Cricetulus griseus: one gene and its partner. The protein of the gene in region 1 interacts with the protein of each later gene in a biochemical or structural test. Links are inferred from orthologs where the notes say so. Each region holds a gene or a part of one and is shown in the gene's direction. Other genes may lie near its edges.

Evidence for each region.
Region 2: the proteins of Nfe2l2 (region 1) and Enc1 form a complex in vitro, tested with the Homo sapiens proteins (2 studies listed by BioGRID). The link is inferred for Cricetulus griseus from reciprocal best matches to the Homo sapiens genes NFE2L2 and ENC1.

Annotation. Positions count from the first base shown.
Region 1 is NC_048599.1:99,368,016-99,372,265, forward strand, and holds the start of Nfe2l2 (nuclear factor erythroid 2-related factor 2), read left to right. Parts: upstream 1-1,442; 5' UTR 1,443-1,638; coding exon 1,639-1,683; intron 1,684-2,563; exon of another isoform or gene 2,564-2,714; intron 2,715-4,250.
Region 2 is NC_048595.1:315,972,432-315,975,997, forward strand, and holds part of Enc1 (ectoderm-neural cortex protein 1), read left to right. Parts: intron 1-910; 5' UTR 911-923; coding exon 924-2,693; 3' UTR 2,694-2,724; intron 2,725-3,566. UniProt on the Homo sapiens protein: Actin-binding protein involved in the regulation of neuronal process formation and in differentiation of neural crest cells.

The DNA of each region.
Region 1 (4,250 bases):
TTTGTCTCGACGTCCATGGAATCCACCATGCCCTCCCCCACCCCCTGCAGGACCCCCTTCCTACTTTATCCTAGCATTTGAAGCAAAAGAACAACAATTAACACATTAGTGAACGCCCCTCGATTTTTTTCTAGGCCCTTTACGATCTGTTTTATAGATTGGATTTTTTTTTTCAGGGGCTAGGGAAGTATGTTTGGGAATGGACATTGTAAAAACAATCACCATCTCGGACAACAGAACCTAGTGGCATAGCCTATATTGGAGCCATGGGTCGTGACCCCTTTGGGGATGGATCAACTTTCACAGAGGTCACATTTCAGATATCAAATATTTACATTGTGATACATAACAGCAAAATTACAGTTATAAAGTAGCAGCAAAAGTAATTTTATGGTTTAGGGTCACAAGAGAAACTGTACTAAATGGTAGTAGCATTAGGAAGGTTGAGAACCACTGCTATATACCAGCCTTTGGGAGGTGGAGGCAGGAGGATAAGGAGCTCAAAACCACCCAGGTTTCATGAGACCCTATCTCAAAGTTCCAAAATAAAATCGTAAAAAAGAGGGGGAACTGTATCATGAGGATCCACACCTGTGAAGGATGCTATTTGTTGTGTGGCTGCTTCCTGTGTGTTCTGGGTGAACGACCCACACACTCCTTCAGCTCTGGCCGCTAGATGCGGGCACGTGGGAGAAATAGAGGGCGTTCACTTAAGTTTGCAATGTGGACGCATCTCCCTGGGGCAGAGCTGTCCCGCACCAGCATGAGCAGGACAGGGGGACAGAGAGCAGTTGGCTGTCTGCACAGTCCCTGCCCAGAGCCCCCACCCCCGGCTGGCGCCACAGTCAGCCGGTGGGGCGAGATAAAGCGGGCAAGGTTCTGCGGATCCGAATCAGGGAGGCGCAGCTCCGATAGCAGCGCCCGGGATGGGCTCCCGGTGTGTTTGCTCCAACTGTTTAAACTGCTTCAAAGCGCCAGAGCCCCAGCGACCTTCAGCAAACAGCTGCTAATCTCTAGCCAGGGAGAGCTGTCCCAGCGAGGACTCGGGCAGCCCAGGGCCTCTCGCCCGCACTCCGCCCCCGTGGGACCACGGCCACGCCCGGACCACCGCTAGAGGATGGTCATCAGCGGAGGCCGAGGGGAATACAGCAACTCTTGCCGGAAGCCCTCAGGCCCTTGACCCGCCCCTCTGGTCCCAGCCTTGTCCCTTTACCCTTGCCCCGCCCTAGGGCAAGCCCTCTGGCCCTTGCCCCGCCCCTCCGGCCCCTCTAAGTACCTTTACTCTCGCTCCGCCCTTCGCCATGTCTTCGGACCCTTTCCCTGCCCAGGACCCTTGCACGACTCCAGGCTCTTGCCCCGCCCCCAGTCCCTTGCCCCGCCCCCGGGCCCTCGCCGGGGACTCTAGCCCTTGCCTCTCGCTCCAGCCCTCACTCCGCCCTTAAGTTCCTGTCGCTTCCCCAGGTCCTTGTTCCGCCCCCAGGGGGCGGGGGGCGGAGCGGACTGAGACTGGCCGGACACTCAAGCGAGCCGGCTGTCTGCTGGATCCCGGCAGCTCCGTCGAGTCACTGCCGCCGCCGCACCTCGGCAGCCAACGTAGCGTCGCCGTCGGGGATCCTCAGTGCAGCGTTCGTCCTCAGCATGATGGACTTGGAGTTGCCGCCGCCAGGACTACAGTCCCAGCAGGTGCTGCCCCGGCCCTTGGGCTTATCGGCTGTGCCAGGAAGCAGACGGGAGCTCGAGGGGACAGTGGTCCCGGGAGGGAGGGACAGTCTGAACCCAGACTGCGACAGCCCGACCTGGGAGCTGCCCCCCGCCGGGCCGGGAAGGCAACGGGGGTGTTGGGGCAGCGATGAGAGTAGGGACCGAGCCTGAGGTCCCCGGGGGCACTGGGGTTGGGGTGTGGAGGAAGCTCGGGCTTGGTGGGGCCAGAGGGCATCAACACCACCTCGCTGGGTCGGATGCTCAGAGGCGGCGGGAGGGGGCGGACGCTGGCTGTCTTCGCCGGCGCAGCCCGGCCCTTTCCGGGCTTGCGTAGTTTCCCAGATTCGGTGCCGGTAAAAATGTGCCTAGTCACGGGGCCGTGCTCGGGGGAGCTGAGGTCTCCTCGGCGACCGCCCCGGAGACTGCTTCCCTCCCCTGGCCGCGACCTCCAGCGCGGCTGCCAAGCCCCCTTGGCCGTCTGTGGTTTTCTCAGCCCGAGAGCTCGTCGTCTGTAGGATCATGCCAGTCCGGCTTGATCTAGAAAAGCCCAGCCCTCTGGGGGCGGAAGAGAAAGTCACCGGGTGACCCTCGTGCTCAGGTGCCCCGACGGGCAGGGCTCCTCGCGCTTCCTCAGCCCGGGAATCCGGCATTGGCCTCACATCAGGCGAGGACTTGAGGACCTGGGCGGGCTCAGAGGCCCTAGGCAGCCGCACGCGGGGCTGTGTGTTCTGAGCGTCGTGACTCGCGGGGCCCCCACACTGTGTATGTGTGCGTGGCTGTGGCCTCCGGGTGGGTGACAGCGGCCGGTTGGCAGTCACGGAGGCCCTCGGTTGGCCCTTTCCTGCTTTATAGCGTGCAAACCTCGCTGCTCTGGGGCCAAGGGACAAGTTGGAGCTGTTGATCTGTTGCGCAATTGTTATTTTCCCCTGGGCGGCTTTGTCTTTGGATTTAGCATTGCAGAATTGCAGTCCCAGAATGTGTAAAGCAGGATATTCTGTTCCTTGCCGTCAAGGGTAAGAGTTGTAGATTAGAATTTGTTGCTTTTTATATTGACGATGAAGTTTTTGCGTTTAGCTATTATCCCTCCCTTGTGTCTTTAGTACATTTTTCCTTAGTGTTTGAGATTTTTTGCCTCCTCGATTTCTTAGCACATTGTGAACTTTTATGAACAGAGAGGATGGGACGCTTTCGTTTCATAACCCCTTGTTGATAAGTTTTGAAGATTGTTATGTAAGTGAAAATCAGTTTTTGGTCATACTTCTGGCACTTTTAAAGAAGTAAATGCTTATGTTGCCATTGTGTTGTACTTGGATTTTTAGGAAAAGGGAATGTGTAACTTGGTAAACAGAAAGTTAATTTAAATGTTAAATCGCTGACCCTGAAGGGCCTGATGTAAGCTTTTAGTTACTGACAGTGCATTAATTCTACTCCCTCTCTTGAACTTTCCCCCAGAAATGATTGGGGTTGTAGCTGGTTTTCATTAGGATGAATAAGTAAACTGTACTTTCTGATCTTCTGTTCTTCATTAGTAATCAAAAGGAATGCTTGTCTGGCCACAGGATACATGATACAAACGAACTTTGATTTTAAAGTTTTCTTCTTTTTTCTGTGTAGCATGTAGCATAACATTTCATGTACAAAAATGGCAGATGTACTGCTTTCTCCTCCATGTGAAAGTTTTCTTTGCCAACAACATTTCTTGTTATTTCCAGACAGCAACTTTGAAAAACAGAATTAAAAATTATAATTCATCTTAAAATCATTGTTTGGTAGTCCAGAAGGATTTGAACTGAGTTACAGATTTGAGCAAATGGTTGTGTTGTTGTAGGATAATGGTTTTAACTGCTCAATGACTCTTCATCTCAGGGGGAAAGCCATCCATTACTCTTTTCAGTGGTGTCTTGGAAAGATAAAAGTTGATGAAGTTGATATTGAAGATGAAGTTGATATTGAACGAGACAGATAAGCTTATTTTTAAACGTTAGACACAGAGAAAGTGGACAAGCCTTTCCTCTGGAATGAATGTTAAGCAAGACCAACTTGACTTTTTAGATATATGGAACATCTCTGAGACGTTACAGAAACCAAATGTGGATTGATAAATACACGACCACATCAGTCTTTCTATCTTAAAAATAACTAAGGCAGTGGCTGGGGAGATGGCTCAGTGGTTAAGAGCACTGTCTGTTCATCCAGAGGACCCAGGTTCAATTCCCAGCACCCACACAACAGCTCCCAACTATCTGTAACTCCAGTTCCAGGGTATCCAACACCCTCATACAAACATCCATGCAGGCAAAAACACAATGCATAAGAATAAAAAAAAATAAATGACTAAAAAAAATAATTAGGGCCATTTTGAAATTTCATTTATATTAACTTGGGTCCTTAAAAACAATGCTGGGGGAACAATCCTCTTTTAGGATTACCGGTGAGAGTTGAAAGCCAGATACGTGGTTCTTCTTAATGTTCATTTTTATTTAGGATGAGTTATGCTAAGCAAAGCTGCAGGAGAAAGGAGCACTTGAGCAGTTACCTTTATTTCTAGA
Region 2 (3,566 bases), on another chromosome or scaffold:
ACCCCCCCATATGCAGGTGCAGCATTTGCAGGTACATAACAGTCCTGGTGATGGAGTGTTTAATCAAAGGGGGGTGGATGCATCCTTTGTTCTTGTGCCGGTTTTCCAAGAACTGGTATAGAGCAGGAAGAAAAGAAAAACAGCATGAGCTGCCTACTCAAAATATTCTTCCTTTTATGTGCCAAAGTGTCATTCTGGAATCTGTCCAGGTTCAGGAAGATGGGTGGTAATTGTGGCCAGAATCTATTTTGTGCTTTCACTGAGGTCTGCTGATCAATGTATGGAAATATTTACATTCTCCTGCATTTAGAGCTCTGGTGGCAGAGCTGTCTAGTTAGAAACTGTCTGTTTAACCTTTGTGTAAAAGTCTGACCTCTTCATGAGTTTGGTAGTTACATGTATGCAGAGTTTGGATCTTACCAAAGGAATTCTTAATAGAATTTCTAATTAGTAGGTGTTTGTTTTACACATGGCTTTATATTGCATAGGGCATTAAAGCCGGTGCCCTCCTGACGTTCTTGGCATTATGAGCGGGAAGCTTGGCATTTTAAGTGGCCTGGAGTGAATCAGCTGGCCTGGCGCTGGGAACCGAGAGAATGAGTTGGGCTTCCCTCAGCTTCTGCTGACTTACATTCTGGCAGTCAGGTTTTCCAAGATAAACCTGCTTATAAGCCATTACTCCCCTCCCCCCAACAGTATATGATTCAAATAGCTCAACAGTATTACAAGGAATGTGTTCCCTCCCAGGTAGTTCTCCCTGGCTTTGTTCTATAGCAGCCATACCCATCTCGGATCAGTAGTAGCAGGACAAACTAGGCTGTTTTCTTTGTCTAAGTGATTGTTGCTTTTGTGCTATGTCTGGGAATATCAAGAGCAACGTGTTCAATGGGTTTGTTTTGTTTTCTTTTAGGAGTTGAAACAAAATGTCAGTCAGTGTGCATGAGAACCGCAAGTCCAGAGCCAGCAGTGGCTCCATCAATATCTACCTGTTTCATAAGTCTTCCTATGCGGACAGTGTCCTCACTCACTTGAACCTTCTACGTCAGCAGAGGCTCTTCACCGATGTCCTCCTCCATGCTGGAAACAGGACCTTCCCTTGCCACCGGGCAGTGCTGGCTGCATGCAGCCGCTACTTTGAAGCCATGTTCAGTGGTGGCCTGAAAGAGAGCCAGGACAGTGAGGTCAACTTCGACAATTCCATCCACCCAGAAGTCTTAGAGCTGCTTCTCGACTATGCATACTCCTCCCGGGTCATCATCAATGAAGAAAATGCCGAGTCGCTCCTGGAAGCTGGTGACATGCTGGAATTTCAAGATATCAGAGATGCATGTGCAGAATTTCTGGAAAAGAACCTGCATCCCACCAACTGCCTGGGTATGCTGCTGCTGTCTGATGCACACCAGTGCACCAAGCTCTATGAACTCTCATGGAGAATGTGTCTCAGCAACTTCCAAACCATCCGCAAGAATGAAGATTTCCTCCAGTTGCCCCAGGACATGGTTGTGCAGCTCTTGTCTAGTGAAGAACTGGAGACAGAAGACGAAAGGCTTGTGTATGAGTCTGCCATGAACTGGATTAGCTATGACCTGAAGAAGCGCTACTGTTACCTCCCTGAACTGTTGCAGACTGTGAGGCTGGCCCTCCTTCCTGCCATCTATCTCATGGAGAATGTGGCGATGGAAGAACTCATCACCAAGCAGAGGAAGAGTAAGGAGATTGTGGAAGAGGCCATCCGGTGCAAACTGAAAATCTTGCAGAATGACGGTGTGGTGACCAGCCTCTGTGCCCGCCCACGGAAAACTGGCCATGCCCTCTTCCTCCTGGGAGGACAGACTTTCATGTGTGACAAACTGTATTTGGTAGACCAGAAGGCTAAAGAAATCATTCCCAAGGCTGACATTCCCAGCCCAAGGAAAGAGTTCAGTGCGTGTGCAATTGGCTGCAAAGTGTACATTACTGGGGGGCGGGGATCCGAAAACGGAGTCTCAAAAGATGTCTGGGTTTATGATACCCTGCATGAGGAGTGGTCCAAGGCTGCCCCCATGCTGGTGGCCAGGTTCGGTCATGGATCTGCTGAACTGAAGCACTGCCTGTATGTGGTCGGTGGGCACACAGCTGCAACTGGTTGCCTCCCAGCCTCCCCCTCAGTGTCTCTAAAGCAAGTAGAACATTATGACCCCACAACCAACAAATGGACCATGGTGGCCCCACTCCGAGAAGGCGTCAGCAATGCTGCTGTAGTGAGTGCTAAGCTCAAGCTGTTTGCTTTTGGAGGTACCAGTGTAAGTCATGACAAGCTTCCCAAGGTTCAGTGTTATGATCAATGTGAGAACAGGTGGACAGTACCGGCCACCTGTCCCCAGCCCTGGCGTTACACAGCAGCAGCTGTGCTGGGGAACCAGATATTTATTATGGGTGGAGATACAGAGTTCTCTGCCTGCTCTGCTTACAAATTCAATAGTGAGACTTACCAGTGGACCAAGGTGGGAGATGTGACAGCCAAGCGCATGAGCTGCCATGCTGTGGCCTCCGGGAACAAGCTTTATGTAGTCGGAGGATACTTTGGCATTCAACGCTGCAAGACTTTGGACTGTTACGATCCAACTTTAGATGTATGGAACAGCATAACCACAGTCCCGTACTCACTGATCCCTACCGCGTTCGTCAGCACCTGGAAGCATCTGCCTTCTTAAAGTACAGCATCCTGAAGAAAGTGCGTAAGAGGTAAGAAAGCAGAGCTGGAGATGCAAGGGTGAATTTCAGCAGGGTAGCCTAAGTTCAGAGGATGTGCAATGAGATGTATTGCTTGTTACCCATCCGAAGTTTCATAGAAACTATAAAAAAGAAAGGCTTTTCACCCTTACAGGATAACTACTGTGCTAGCCACCACTGCAAACGCCCTGCCAACAGAAACCAGTGGTTCTCAGCCATCATGGAACCTCAGAATCTCGCAAAGAGATTTGCAGAAACTGCCCATTCTAGAGACTTTGCTTTTATTTGGTCCAGGTGGAACCTAAGCATCAATACTTTTTATATGCCTTTGTGTTTTACCTGCATGTCTGTGTGAGGGTATTGGATCCCCTGGAACTACAGACAGTTATGAGCTGCCATGTGGGTGCTGGGAATTGGACCCAGGTCCCCTGGAAGAGCAACCAGTGCTCTTAAACTCTGAGCCATCTCTCCAGCCCCACATCAGTACTTTAAAGAAAGTTTCCCATTAGTATCCGACCAGTTTGGGAACTCTAGGCGTACATTAGTAATTCCAGTTAGTGGTTGTGAAATGTCTTGTGTTCCTAGAACAGGACCGTATGCTTCACTCAAGCATCCTTTTGATGCTCAGAACAACCCCTGGGTGCTATTCTTAACCTCCCTAGTCAGGTGAGCAAGCCTGGTGCCTGTGGAGCATCACTAGTAAATTGTCCAGCATCACAGACCTCAGCAAGTGGTCAACCTAGTCAAGAAATCCACTGGGCAGTCTGACTCTAGAACACAAACACTTAGTGTGTAATCAAGCTGCTGCCTGGTAAACTTGAACTTCATCTTGTTATCATGCCAGGGATACTGGG